Linked DNA regions of Oryzias latipes. The protein of the gene in region 1 purifies or fractionates together with the protein of each later gene. This does not show direct contact. Links are inferred from orthologs where the notes say so. Each region holds a gene or a part of one and is shown in the gene's direction. Other genes may lie near its edges.

Region 1 (6,658 bases):
GCCTACCTGCCCAAAATGATGACTCTGTATGAGCAGTGCATCCGGGTGCTGCAGAACAACATTGACTGTAAGTTTCGATTTCTTCCAAAAAAATCCCATCAGCAAAGAGGTAGAGCAGTCTCTCATTAGCCCTGAAGGTGGCAGCAGAAAGTTAGTTTTCCAAGGAGCTTTTGAAGTTGAAGTGTTTGACTACCCAGCCACCTGTAACTCGGATGGTCAAAGCAAAGGCAATCATATAGCTGTTTTGTGCTCTTTTAGCCATCGCTGAGGTGGGAGGAGTCCCGTTTGAGATCCTTGAGCCTGTCCTGGAGAGATGTACCCCAGAACAACTGTACCGCATCGAGCTGAGCAATCAGGTGATTCATCAAACCAAACTTGCTACAAAAGACAACTGGCCCGAATGAACTCACAAAGAGGAAAAGGCCAGCTTCAAACCTACATAAAAATAAAGGTTGACTAAGCGCACGCCCTCCTTTCACTTTAAACCTATTTGATTCAGTTTTGCTTTTATTTTCTTTTAAGGATTTATAACCTTTAGTTCTAATTCATTGTTTAAACTTGTGGCTAACTAAACCCAAACAAAGATTCTACCACCGCCATGTTTCACAGAAATAAGAAGTGTCTTTTCTGTAATCGCTGCTAATTTATTTCATAAAAGTTCAATGCATTAATCATGTCAATTGATAAAAGACGGTTTGATTGACAAACTAAATGTGGACAGAAATAATTGTTTGAATTGTTTTTTCCATTCCTTCAGCCCACCATTCACAATACTTTTGGTTGCATTTCTATCAGTGTCCATCCTCCTAATGTTCAATCACTTAGCATCTGTTTTTTAACCTTTCAGTGTTTTACGGAAGATTCAGACGAGCTGTGGAAGCGCCACTGCCAGCGAGACTTTAAGCGCGAGTCTCCTCAGGAGTTCGAGTCATGGAGGGAAATGTACCTGCGGCTGCATGACGAGCGGGAGGAACGGCTGAGGCTGCTCACCCAGAACATCACCTCTGCACACGCCAACAAACCGAAAGGCAGGAGAAGATTTTGAAGACTTTAAAGCTGGTCTCGAAATGGCAGCCATTCTTACAGTCATCCTTCATGTGTTTTGCAGGTCGACAGGTTAAGATGGCGTTTGTAAATTCTGTGGCCAAGCCTCCACGTGACGTTCGGCGCCGACAGGAGAGGTTTGGTACCTCTAGTGGTTTGTCCTCGGCGGCTTCTATTACAGCTGCCTCTCCTATCAAGTGAGTGAATAAAACTATTATTCTGATCTAATCTTTGATAAAAGCTTCAAAACAACTTAATTTTCTTCTTAAAGAATTTGTTGGAATAGAAATGCACTAGTCATAGAAAAAGGCAACAGAAAGGATGCAGCTTAGAGGTTTGATAAAGAGTGAAGGCTTTTAAAGGACAGCATTCAAGCAGCTGTGGAGACTGATACCATGCATCAAAAACTAAACCCTTGTATCATTGAGATAAAGTTTGTTAATATGAGCCTTCTATTTACTTCGCTGCAAAGGGTTCAGTGACACAGAAACAGCCAGCCAGGCTCAGATCATAGCTTCACTTTAGCAGATTTACATCATCAGTGTTTAGAAGTGAATGAACAACTGGCAAAAAGAGATCTAAACTGCAACCAGGATAGGGGATCTGACACAAAGCCCTTGGATTGGATGTAGAGTTTTTTTAAAAACATTTTCCAGTTGAAAAACATTTGTTGGAAAAAAAACAACAGAATAATCGCTCAGAATTCAAGTCTACTCTCCACATGTGTCCATTCTGTATTTACCCGAGGTCTGACTTACTAAAAGTAGTTTTAGTGTTTCACATTTTAGGAAGACTGATTGTAATATGTTCATATGATGGCTTCTGTACGTCTTCAAAGGTCTATTTGCTAATTTAATTGCACATAATTACACTACACTTTACCCTCAATTCTGTTTATTGGGTTTCCTGCTTTTTAATTTTTTTTTGTTATCGTCGTGTTTCTTGTATTTAGGTTTGCCTTATGCCATGTACTGTCTTTTATCATGTTATTTATTTATTTTACTCACTATTGCCCTGTGCACTGTTGCTGTTGGACCACCCACAATTTAACAGCTGCTGGCAATTACAATATTCTAGTCTAGTCTAGTCTAGTCTAGTCTAGTCTAGTCTAGTTAGTCTAGTCTAGTTAGTCTAGTCTAGTCTGATTACCTTATTATTAAAGATAAACTCAAATACGCAACCATTTTATTTGTAAGAGAATTATTTTTCAATTGTTCTTTGAAGACGTTCAGAAGCCATCATATGAACATATTACAATCAGTCTTCCTAAAATGTGTAACACTAACCTGGTTCCGGGTTACACTACTTTACTGATATAGTATTATGTTTTATTCATATGAGTGGCTTTTATAAGTAACATAATCTGCATATATTTCAGATGACTGATCTGCATTTGCCATGTTGATTTCTAAAATAGTTATTTTTGACGTAATACTTAAGTAATTTATCTTTGTCATGTGCTTTATCGATATCTTATGACTTTTAATTCTGTCTGATAAAAACTGGGAACCGGATATTGATAAATCATGTAATAAAATGGTTATAGTATAACGTGGTGGGATTATATAAGTTTGCTTCCTTCCACTCCCTTTCAAGCAATATTTATTAATATGTCTAATTATCCTAAGTTTGATTAGTTACTGTATGAATGTATAACTGATGATTATATTGCTGTTGTGTATTATTTCTACTTAATTGCTTGAAATAAACCATTTCAAATCAAATCAAATCAAAATTGTTGACTCAGACGGGTGAACTTCTAACCAAATGTATTACTTATAATCTGTATTTCCCTGCCTATATGCAATCTAAATAATCACCCACCTAACTTTTGAAAGTTTTTTCTTTTACTTTCATCTATTTTTCTGCTTTTTAAAAAAAAACTGAAACAGATGCTGTTGCCATCAAATGAACCAGAATTGCTTAAAATGAAAAATGTTTAGCTGGTCTTGTCAACAAAAACCAGACTGTACATATTTAAGTCTAAATGCTCCAGGGATGCTATAGGAAGAATTTTACTCCATAAAAAAAACTTCTTTGATTATCTTATTTTTTAAGTTAAAGTTATTTGTACTATTCTTTCACTTCTATTCCCTCTCAAATATTTCTTTTTCTCCTCAAGAATCCGACCAGTTGTTACAGGCGACTCTGGAGAGTCGAGCCGCTCCTCTTCCTCCTCTCTGCTGGCCTCACCTGCGCCTTCATCCCGGCCCTCCGCTCCAAGTGGAGGAGGAGCAGGAGGACTTGGTCGAGAGAAGCCAGCTGTCAAAAGTAAGTTCACAGGCACTTTTTTATCATTAGATTTGCATTAAATCTTTATATGTTTGCATCAATTAAACCTCCATGTTTGATCTGTTCTGCAGAAATCGCCCCTATGATGGCCAAAACCATCAAAGCGTTCAAGAACAGATTCTCCCGCCGGTAATCTGAATGAGCCTGAATGTATTGTATCAATTACAACAGTTTTTAATTGAAGCTACAAACCATTTACAAGGGAACTGCGTTATGGGCTTCAGTGAGGGGTCTATGAGATTTTGAGATCATTCATCAACGAGTGATTGCAGTGTTGTGCTTGTAATCCAAGTTCAAGTCTTCTGAGAGAAGAGTTTTTCTTTTTTCAAAGACATATGGTGAGCAGAAGGGCTTTTGTGAACATCTATCCACAATTCTTCTGTGAAACACAGAGGTGGTGGCATCATTGTTTGGGACTGGAACGCTAACTATCATTGTTAGATTACTGTAGATGGGTAAAAGAAAAATCGCAACGTAGGAGAGCTAAAGACACCTCCTCCTCTGCCCTTAAAGAGAAGCCCAAATTCAAATGTTCAAAAATTTAAATCTTGACTAAAAATTAAATGCTATAGATTCCATAGAAATCCATCCAAGCACATGTTGTAGTCTGATCTCCTGTGGGACAGAAACTGGGTCCAAATCTCTGCTTTCAAGTGCAGTCACACAATCTGTTACAGCATTAAATGCTAATTTTTGCTAAATCTGTGAACAGATGCTCACAAAAGCTCTCCTACTGTCGTGGTTTTTTGTCAAACGACAGCATTTTGTGTTATAAAAGGAAACTCTTTCATTTTGGATTTCCTTGGAAGAACAAGCTTTTGGTGAATATTCACTTACAAGCTCAAAAAGAAAGGCTGATGCACACCTGAGCCCATATCCTGTTTCCCTCCAACACAAACACACAGTTCGCTTTGACCTTCAGAACATAACCTATGAACTCTGCGATGATGAAAAAGATGGTTTACTGTGTTTTTATGTATATTTGGGGAAGGAAATTTTATAAAATTAAATCCTAAATAATGGTCTTAGTGCAAAGAAAAGGAATTTACCATCTCAAAAAAAGACATGCACACACCTATGCTGTTACCTTTGATTGTTTTTAAGTGGACGGTTTTAAAGACATTTTTGTGTTTTTTGACCTTTCTTTCTTGACGTTTTATGAAAAATTTCATTTTTCCAAACCTTTAGCTGCTGCTAGACCTCAGCACAGAGACTAAAAACAAGAATCTACAATGTTGATCGGCTTTAGAAACATCTCCACATAAAAAAAATTACAATTTTATTGTAATGTCAGACTTATCAACACCAAACCAATTCCCATCAAGTATATAATGCAGACAGTTATCCTCTGTCTCCAAGATACAACAAACCATGCAGATTTTTAGTTTCTTTACAAATCGTGTCATATTTCTTTTACAAATAAATTGATGATTACTTTTTAGAAAATATGAAACATCTATGAAACAGCTAAAAAATACACCATTTGTTTTAGTTTTAGTGGCGTCGGCAATCAAAATGTATTAGCAATGAAACATTAAACAGTCTTCTCCTCAAGAATAATTGGGTTTTAAAGAATTTTAAGACAAAGTAAACTGCTAAAAACTGCTGAAATTTTTAGTAAAGAATTTGATTAGAAATGAAATGACTTGTTTTTAGTCTTTGTGCTAAACTGGTGAGTTGAAGGCCTTAGTGTAGCCTTTGTCACAGAAATTAGATATGTATCAACTTTCTAATTTCAACTCTCGCCAAGAAAACTTGCAGAAAGTTTCCAACATCTCAACTTTTCCTCAGAAAAGAAACGAAAATTATAAAAATATATTGTCCTTTTGGGTTCTCCTGTATGACTGAAGGACACAACAGAACTGCCTGTACATTTTTTTCTGTTTTGTCTTAACACCATTGACTGTCAAAGAGAGCACGTGAACCACCCCGAGTTGCCGGAAAAGCCTGCTTTTTAGAAATAAACATGCAGTTCATTTTTAATTTTATATTTTCCTTGGTACATGTTCAATGTGTAGATCTGAAATGAAAGCAGAAACGCACACTGTTGATCATATTTTTATCCTCCTGTGGCATTGGATGATGATGTCCTGCTGTTGAAAGTGTAAAGCCCTGTTTCCGTCTGCTCCTCTGTAATAAACTGCTTGAATAGGGTTGGTGGGTCTGGAAGAAGAGCTAGAGGGACGGTAGATCATAGGACGCCTGCAGCTTCAGACCATCATCATAAGGAGATGTATTTATTTTCAACGAAGGGACCTTGGCACCCCACAGCATGGGCCCCAACAGAAGCTAGATTCAAATTGTAATTTTATTAGATTTTAATAAATGTTAAATGGTCATTTTTGTTAAAACTGACTTTTGCCCTGAAAGATGACTTGTGTTTGTTGTTTTTATTAGCCCATAGAAATGTAGAGCCACACATTTACTTGTAAACAGTTTACGACACTATGAACGTTTGGTAGCAAAACACTCCAGCCAATCAAGTCACACGGTTTTTTGTGTTTTGTTCGTCAATCGAGTAGAGGCGTGGTTATTATGAAGGAAGTCGAGTCGGACTGACATTCCACTTTCAAAAATAAAACTCTGGATTTGGATTACTAAATGACATTGTTCTTTAAAAATCATAACTTTCCACCAAATTTAGTGGAATTGAGTCAAATATTTGAATCATAAATATGTTTAACAAAATCAAAAGTGGAGACATTTTTTTCCCAATATATAAGTATTGTTTCTTTTCAATTGGTAATTTACATTAAATAAGCGTTCATTCTATTTGAGTGAAAAGGATTTTCCCCCTCAACTTTATTGATCAGAATGCAAGTAAAAAAACAAGACAATAAATATAAGAAGAATGCAATGTTTTTGTGTATCATTCTTCCATTGAGGAAATAAAGGGGATGCGTGTTACCTTATTTTGAAAATCCCCTACCGGATATGCAATTGCAACTTCGTTTAAGAACACTAGGGCTCTCAAGAAGCGAAACTTGCTGAAACATTTAATCGGTGCAGTTTTATACTCGTGATCCACGACTTTTTGACACGGAACCCTGCAGTTTATACACAAGATGTCCGGGCACGGACACGGGCATGGGCACGGCTGCAGCTGCGAGCATGAGCACGACCCCGCAGAGAGGGGCCTGGAGTACGGACTGTATCAGCGGATCGACCTGGAGAAGCTGCAGTGCCTGAACGAGAGCAGGGACGGAGACGGGAAGCTGGTGTTCAAACCGTGGGACCAGCGCCGCGAGCGAGAAAAGGTAACGGCCGCGCGGAGGCTCTGCTGCCCCGAGCAGCGAAGTTTCCCGAAGCCTCAGGGCTGCAA
Region 2 (8,151 bases), on another chromosome or scaffold:
ACCTCAGCCCCCTGTAACCTAACGCTTCTACCTTGATCCCTCTCGTTCAGACACATGTATTCTGTCTTACTACGACTGACCTTCATACCTCTTCTTTCCAGAGCAAACCTCCACCTCTCTAGCTGTTCCTCCACCTGCTCTCTACTCTCACTGCAAATTACAATGTCATCCGCAAACATCATTGTCCAGGGAGATTCCTGTCTTACCTCGTCTGTCAGCCTGTCCATCAGCATAGCAAACAAAAAAGGACTCAAAGCTGATCCTTGGTGTAGTCCCACCTCCACCTTGAACTCCTCTGTCTGACCTACAGCACATCTCACCACCGTCATACTTCTCTCATACATGTCCTGAACTACTCTGACATACTTCTCTGCCACTCCAGACGACCTCATACAGTACCACAGCTCCTCCCTCGGCACCCTGTCATACGCCTTCTCTAAATCTACGAACACACAATGCAGCTCCTTCTGACCTTCTCTGTACTTTTCCATCAACATTCTCAAAGCAAAAATGGCATCAGTGGTGCTCTTACGGGGCATGAAACCATACTGCTGCTCACAAATCTCCACCTTCTTCCTAAGCCTGGCTTCCACTACTCTTTCCCACAGCTTCATTGTGTGGCTCATCAACTTTATTCCTCTATAGTTGCTGCAGTTCTGCGTGTCACCCTTGTTCTTAAAGATCGGGACCAGAACGCTTCTCCTCCATTCCTCAGGCATCTTCTCACTCTCTAAAATCCTATTGAACAACCTCGTTAGAAATTCCACTGCTGTCTCTCCTAAGCACTTCCATACCTCCACAGGTACGTCATCAGGACCAACGGCCTTTCCGCTCTTCATCCTTTTCAGAGCCTTCCTAACCTCATCCTTTCCAATCTCTGCTACTTCCTGCTCCACAACAACCACATCTTCCTCCCTTCTTTCCCTGTCATTTTCCTCGTTCATCAGCTCCTCAAAATACTCCTTCCATCTTTTCTGTACACTCTCCTGGGTTGTTAGCACCTTTCCATCTCTGTCCTTAATCACCCTTATCTGTTGCACGTCCTTCCCATCTCTGTCTCTCTGTCTGGCTAGCCTGTACAAGTCCTTTTCTCCTTCCTTTGTGTCTAACCTGTCATATAGCTCATCGTAAGCTTTCTGTTTGGCCTTTGCCACCTCTCTCTTCACTCTACGCTGCGCTTCCTTGTACTCCTGTCTACCTTCCTCAGTCCTTTCTACATCCCACTTCCTTTTAGCCAACCTCTTCCTCTGGACGCATTCCTGTACTTCCTCATTCCACCACCAAGTCTCTTTACCGTCTTTCCTCTTTCCAGATGACACACCTAGCACCTTCCTACCTGTTTCCCTGATAATTTCTGCTGTAGTTTCCCAGTCATCTGGAAGCTCATCCTGACCACCCAGGACCTGTCTCAACTTCTGCCTAAATTCCTCACAAGTTTCTTCATTCTGTAGCTTCCACCACTTGGTCTTCTTTTCTGTTTTCCCTCTCTTCTTCTTCCTGACCTCCAGAGTCATCTTACACACCACCATGCGGTGCTGTCTGGCTACACTCTCTCCTACCACCACTTTGCAGTCAATAACCTCTCTCAAATGACCTCGTCTACATAGGATGTAGTCCACCTGAGTACTCCTACCTCCACTTCTGTATGTCACTCTATGTTCCTCTCTCTTCTGGAAGTAAGTGTTGACTACAGCCATTTCCATCCTCTTCGCAAAGTCCACCACCATCTGTCCCTCCAGATTCCTTTCCTTCACACCAAACCTGCCCATCACCTCCTCATCACCTCTGTTGCCCTCACCAACATGTCCATTAAAGTCTGCTCCAATAACAACTCTCTCTCCTCTGGGGATACTCTCTATGACCTCATCCAACTCACTCCAGAATCTCTCCTTCACTTCTAACTCACAGCCAACCTGTGGCGCATACCCACTGACTACATTCACCATCACCCCTTCAATTTCTAACTTTAGGCTCATCATCCTGTCTGAGACTCTTTTCACCTCTAGAACACTGTTTACAAACTCCCCCTTCAGAATCACTCCTACCCCGTTTCTCTTCCTATCAACACCATGATAGAACAGTTTGTATCCTCCTCCAATACTACGTGCCTTGCTGCCCTTCCACCTTGTCTCCTGCACACACAGTACATCTAGCTTCCTTCTCTCCATCATGTCTGCCAGCTCTCTGCCTTTCCCTGTCATTGTGCCAACGTTAAGAGTCCCTATTCTCAAACCTATGTTCCTGCCTTTTCCCTTCTCTCTCTGGCCACGGACCCTTCTGCCTCCCCTCTTTCTTCGACCAACAGTAGTCAAATTTCCACCGACACCCTGTAGGTTAACAGCATCGGTGGCGGTCGTTGTTAACCCGGGCCTCGACCGATCCGGTATGTGTAAAGTGTTGTGGATGATTCGCATGGTTATTTTGGCAATTTTTACGCCGGATGCCCTTCCTGACGCAACCCTCTCTATTTATCCGGGCTTGGGACCGGCACAGAGGCAACTGGCTTGCAACCCCTGCGGCTAGATTATATATATATATATATATATATATATATATATATATATATATATATATATATATATATATATATATATATATATATATATATATATATATATATATATATATATATATATATATATATTTTTTTTTTTAGTTAGTCCCCCACTCCGACCCTTACTCCAACACAGCAGGTGGCGGTATTGCAGAAGAAGAAGTCTGTTATTCCAGCCGGATTGAATTTTCAGTTACACAGTCTGTTGCTTGCTGGGGCACCAAATAGCAAGCAGCAGACAACGGGCTAGATTTTTGTAGTCTTTTTTAAAAATCTATCTTGAGAAGGATCTACCCTTCAAAGCCAAGATGTCTCGAGGCTCAATAGAGATCCCATTGAGGGACACGGATGAGGTGAAAGTCATAGTTGCAAATTGTTTTGATTGATGTTTGGAAGCGAACCTCGCTGCGATGCTAGTTTCTTATGCTAACAGCAGCTAGCAAGCGCTAATTGTGACATTTCGTCTTACAGATAAGAGTAATGTAAACAGTTGTGACGCTTTGGTTGGTTTAAATGTTTACCCAGTAAAATGCAATTAAAACTAAATATAGGCAACATGTAAAACAGTTGTGTGGGAAAGGGAACTATCTTAATTTAACGTATTCCCCCCCTGTTTGGGAAACAGAAGCTAACGTTTACAGAAATTGGACTACATAGTTTCTGCATTACATACATCAACAGTTATATTGAGATCTAAAGAATGTCATTTAAATCACGACTTTGACGCTGTAGGCTATATGGCTAATTTTATAAAACCAGAAGTAAACAAATAAACATGGAATACCTTCTTGAACTCTGTTTGCACTACTTATTCTGTTTATTGTTCTGACCATTGTGTCATTTTAAATTTTGCTTACTGTTGTTCATTTTTTCTATTCTTAAGTGTTTTATGTTGCACATTAGCACTGCAGCAAATTCCAATTCTGTGAAACTGCCCTGTTCACTGAAAATGGCAATAAAGAATCCTTGAATTCTAACACACTCACATAAAAAAAGGAACTTAGTGTTCTTAGTCAGAGGCTTCTTTGGGAAAGGAATCATTGCAACTTCTAATTTTTCTTTAGAGCCTTGATGAAATATTTTCGATTTTTAAGCTTCAGTCTGTGGTCACGTGAACTTTGAAAAGTAATTCTTATGAACTGAGGCCTGTAAACCACACGATTATCAGAGTTCTGAAGTGCATTCAGATTTGGTGATTACAGATGAGTTATTTCTGGTATTAAACGAACAGACTTGCAACTTCAAACATGATCTAAGTCGCATTATAACTGCTGATATTTATTTACTGCCACTCATACTCTAAATAAAGATTAAGTCAGATTTTCGTCTGTCCTGAAGAAATAAACTTTGTTGTGCCCTGCAGGTCATTGAGCTCGACTTTGACCAGCTTCCTGAGGGAGACGAGGTCATCAGCATCTTGAAGCAGGAACATACACAGCTGCACATCTGGATTGCTTTGGCAGTGAGTATTTCAAATAATAAAACATTGATTGAAATTACTTTTGTTTTTCTTGTAAATTCAACTAGAATTTCCCGATAGTACTCTCTTGAGATATTAGATCAACAGATCATAAAATAAATGACTTCCTAAAAATGTCATTGTAATCACTGCAAACTAAGTTTTTGTAAAGAGAACATATTATCTGATAAATATCATGAAGTCCCCTTTATACCCTCTGAATCGATGCTTTTCTCCTCAGTTGGAGTATTACAAACAGGGCAAGACAGAAGATTTTGTGAAGCTTCTAGAAGCCGCACGTATTGATGGAAACCTCGACTACAGAGACCATGAAAAGGACCAGATGACCTGCTTAGACACCCTGGCTGCTTATTATGTTCAGCAAGCACGTAAAGAGAAAAACAAAGATGCCAAAAAAGAGCTCATCACCCAGGCCACTCTGCTCTATACCATGGCGGACAAAATCATCATGTACGACCAGGTACGGCAGATGTTTCGTAGCAGGCAGTAGTGAAATAAAGCTGCTTTGGCTTTATTGAAAACGCACCGTATTGTTGACTCGTTTAGAACCATTTGTTGGGAAGAGCTTGTTTCTGCCTGCTGGAAGGAGACAAGATGGACCAGGCTGATGCTCAGTTCCACTTTGTCCTTAACCAGTCTACAAACAACATCCCCGCTTTGCTCGGTACGATGAGTTTCGGAGAAAACTTTCTCAGCTCTTGCCGCCGCGATCAGTTTAAAATAATAATTGCCTTTGTTTTTCAATAGGAAAGGCCTGCATCTCATTCAATAAAAAGGACTACAGAGGAGCACTGGCATACTACAAAAAGGCTTTACGCACAAATCCTGGCTGCCCAGGTAAAATGTGTTGCACACTATAGAAGTGCTGCTGCTGAAAATGTTTCCATTCTGTTATTTGGTTCAAATTTTTGGTATTTTGGTTTAAGACAAAACCTAATAACATTTTAGTTAATTTGTGTCATGTCTGATTGTCTTTTTTCTTTTTTTTTTAATCCATGTGTAGCTGAGGTAAGGCTGGGGATGGGCCATTGCTTTGTCAAGCTCAACAAACTGGAGAAAGCTCGTTTGGCGTTCAGTCGCGCCCTGGAGCTGAATTCAAAGTGTGTGGGAGCGCTCGTTGGTTTGGCGGTTTTGGAGCTCAACAACAAAGAGGCAGACTCCATAAAGAACGGAGTCCAGCTCCTGTCACGGGCCTACACCATCGACCCCAGCAACCCTATGGTGCTTAACCACCTCGCCAACCACTTCTTCTTCAAAAAGGTAACCCCTTGGTTTCCCTTAGCTGTTCAGTAATAATAAGAATGTCTGACTTTGGCTGCATTTTCATAATTTGTGCTTGTATGTTTACTGCTAGGATTACAGAAAAGTGCAGCATCTGGCACTTCACGCTTTTCACAACACGGAAGTCGAGGCCATGCAGGCTGAGAGCTGTTATCAGCTAGCCCGCTCCTTTCACGTCCAGGTAAGTAACTCTTTTTAAACCTATTTAGGTTTCATTAAATTCAGTATATATCATGTTTGGTTTGTCTCATCTTTAGGAGGACTACGACCAGGCCTTCCAGTATTACTACCAGGCCACTCAGTTTGCTTCAACTACCTTTGTGTTGCCCTTCTTTGGTCTGGGTCAGATGTACGTTTATCGACGAGACAAAGAAAACGCAGCACAGTGCTTTGAGAAAGTTCTGAAGGCCTATCCGAACAACTACGAAACCATGAAAATCCTGGGGTCCCTCTATGCAACGTCTGATGATCAAGACAAGAGGGATATTGCAAAAGTGGGTTTGTTATGGATTCATTTTGTCCCATGGCAGGGAAAATTCCCTCTTAAAAAACGTTCACGTTATTTTTTAGTTTTAAACTTTCAAATGTTAGACGGATGCCTTTTTGGTTGTTCAGGGTCACCTCAAAAAGGTAACAGAGCAGTACCCAGATGATGTGGAGGCGTGGATTGAGCTCGCCCAGATCTTGGAGCAGACTGACATCCAGGGCGCTCTGTCTGCTTACGGCACAGCCACTCGCATCCTGCAGGAGACGGTGCAGGCCGACGTTCCCCCCGAAATTCTCAACAACCTGGGCGCTCTGCACTTTAGACTGGGGAACCTGGGAGAAGCCAAGGTAAGAGAAAAGCAACTTTTGCTTGTTATTGGCACTTTTCAAGTGATACTTTTTTTATTCATTATTTAAAGTATGTGTATTTAAATGTGAAAAATATCGCGAAAACATTTTTCAAGACCATCTTGTTGATTCTGCAGCCTGGAGCACAGAAAGAGTACAAAATTAATTAATCAATGTGGGGTTAAGCAGAGTTTGTGGTGCTATCTCAGTGCTGGTTGTTTCTTGTTCTTTATAGAAATACTTCCTTGCATCCTTGGAGAGAGCCAAAGCTGAAGGGGAGCATGATGAGCATTATTACAATGCCATTTCTGTGACCACTTCCTACAATCTGGCCCGTTTGTATGAGGCGATGTGTGAATTCCACGAAGCTGAGAAACTCTACAAAAACATCCTCCGGGAGCATCCCAATTATGTGGACTGTAAGCACCAAACTTAAAGTATTAAGAAATGGAAATTTCTTTCCTTTCTTCTATAATTAACCCTTTTCTTAAAAATTAACCTGTCAAATTTCAGGTTATTTGCGTCTTGGAGCAATGGCTCGTGACAAAGGGAACTTCTACGAGGCCTCTGATTGGTTCAAAGAAGCCCTGCAGATCAATCAGGTACGAACATTAAGCGTTAGAGCATTGACGAGAAATATCGAGTATAAACCACATCTTTTTGTTTGTTCTGTAATGCAGGATCACCCGGATGCCTGGTCCTTAATCGGGAATCTTCACTTGGCAAAACAAGAGTGGGGGCCGGGCCAAAAAAAGTTTGAGAGGATTCTGAAGCAGCCGTCCACCCAGAACGACACCTACTCCATGCTTGCTCTGGGAAACGTGTGGCTTCAGACCCTGCACCAGCCGACGAGGGACCGGGAAAAGGTGCAGCCGCCGTCAGTCAGCCAGCCCACCGTGAAACAGGAAAAAAGTTTCACTACATTTACAAACGAGTGAAAGTGGTTACAAAAGGCTCTTACTAATTAATGTTATTGAAAACACAAATAAGGTTTTTTTTTTGTTTTAGGTTATACAAAGTTGGAACAGTTTGTTTCAAATAGAGCACAACTTCTCAGCAGTAATAAGAGTGGAAGTCAATAGTTTTCTCTGTGTTTCAGTGGAGAACAAAGCCTCAAATTAGTCTCACTTGTGTCTGAGCAGGAAAAAAGACATCAGGATCGAGCCCTGGCAATATACAAGCAAGTCCTACGAAATGATGCGAAGAATCTTCATGCTGCTAACGGAATTGGTATGTTAAGGCTTTATTTCCTTATTGTTCTCTTCTTTTAAACTCCTCTTAAACATGAAACTGCTGGTTCAGGTGCCGTCCTTGCCCATAAGGGTTATTTCCGGGAGGCTCGTGACGTGTTTGCTCAGGTGAGGGAGGCCACGGCCGACATCAGCGATGTCTGGCTTAACCTGGCTCACATTTACGTAGAGCAGAAGCAATACATCAGCGCCGTGCAAATGGTAAGGGCTTCACAAATGTGGGTGGGGAGAAAAAAATGTTCAAAAGTTTGGGTGTTCCAACTTTTTTTTTAAATCTAAACTCTGCTTTTCAGTATGAGAACTGCTTGAAGAAATTTTACAAGTATCAGAACACAGAGGTTCTGCTTTACCTGGCTAGAGCCTTGTTCAAATGCGGAAAGCTCCAAGAGTGCAAGCAGATTCTGCTGAAGGTAACATGGAGGCAAACTCACATCTGTGCTCTGGGATGTCGGAGGAAGATGAGCGTAACTTTCTGACGTGTTCTCATCAAGGCCCGCCATGTGGCTCCCAGTGATACGGTGTTGATGTTCAATGTGGCGTTGGTCCTTCAGAGACTGGCCACTCTGGTGCTGAAAGATGAGAAGAGCAACCTGAAGGCTGTACTCAGTGCGGTGAAAGAGCTTGAACTGGCTCACAGGTATTTGATTTTCCTGCTTTCACCCTGCTGGAGATGTATTTTTTTCCTCTTACCTTTATTCTTCTTCAAACAGGTATTTCAGTTATCTCAGCAAGACTGGAGACAAGATGAGGTT

What was found.
Region 2: the proteins of eloa (region 1) and ctr9 purify together in Homo sapiens (affinity purification with mass spectrometry; 4 studies listed by BioGRID and IntAct, with this or other methods). This does not show direct contact. The link is inferred for Oryzias latipes from reciprocal best matches to the Homo sapiens genes ELOA and CTR9.

The regions. Positions count from the first base shown.
Region 1 is NC_019869.2:17,217,225-17,223,882, reverse strand, and holds the end of eloa (elongin-A), read left to right. Parts: coding exon 1-67; intron 68-258; coding exon 259-356; intron 357-847; coding exon 848-1,028; intron 1,029-1,108; coding exon 1,109-1,241; intron 1,242-3,166; coding exon 3,167-3,315; intron 3,316-3,407; coding exon 3,408-3,469; 3' UTR 3,470-5,938; downstream 5,939-6,658. Other genes in the region: pithd1 (PITH domain-containing protein 1), read left to right, coding at 6,402-6,593. UniProt on the Homo sapiens protein: SIII, also known as elongin, is a general transcription elongation factor that increases the RNA polymerase II transcription elongation past template-encoded arresting sites.
Region 2 is NC_019861.2:20,029,568-20,037,718, forward strand, and holds the start of ctr9 (RNA polymerase-associated protein CTR9 homolog), read left to right. Parts: upstream 1-2,750; 5' UTR 2,751-2,862; coding exon 2,863-2,907; intron 2,908-3,917; coding exon 3,918-4,016; intron 4,017-4,254; coding exon 4,255-4,494; intron 4,495-4,580; coding exon 4,581-4,698; intron 4,699-4,781; coding exon 4,782-4,871; intron 4,872-5,037; coding exon 5,038-5,294; intron 5,295-5,388; coding exon 5,389-5,496; intron 5,497-5,572; coding exon 5,573-5,809; intron 5,810-5,930; coding exon 5,931-6,149; intron 6,150-6,384; coding exon 6,385-6,568; intron 6,569-6,662; coding exon 6,663-6,751; intron 6,752-6,829; coding exon 6,830-7,015; intron 7,016-7,291; coding exon 7,292-7,379; intron 7,380-7,451; coding exon 7,452-7,600; intron 7,601-7,692; coding exon 7,693-7,809; intron 7,810-7,890; coding exon 7,891-8,036; intron 8,037-8,109; coding exon 8,110-8,151. UniProt on the Homo sapiens protein: Component of the PAF1 complex (PAF1C) which has multiple functions during transcription by RNA polymerase II and is implicated in regulation of development and maintenance of embryonic stem cell pluripotency.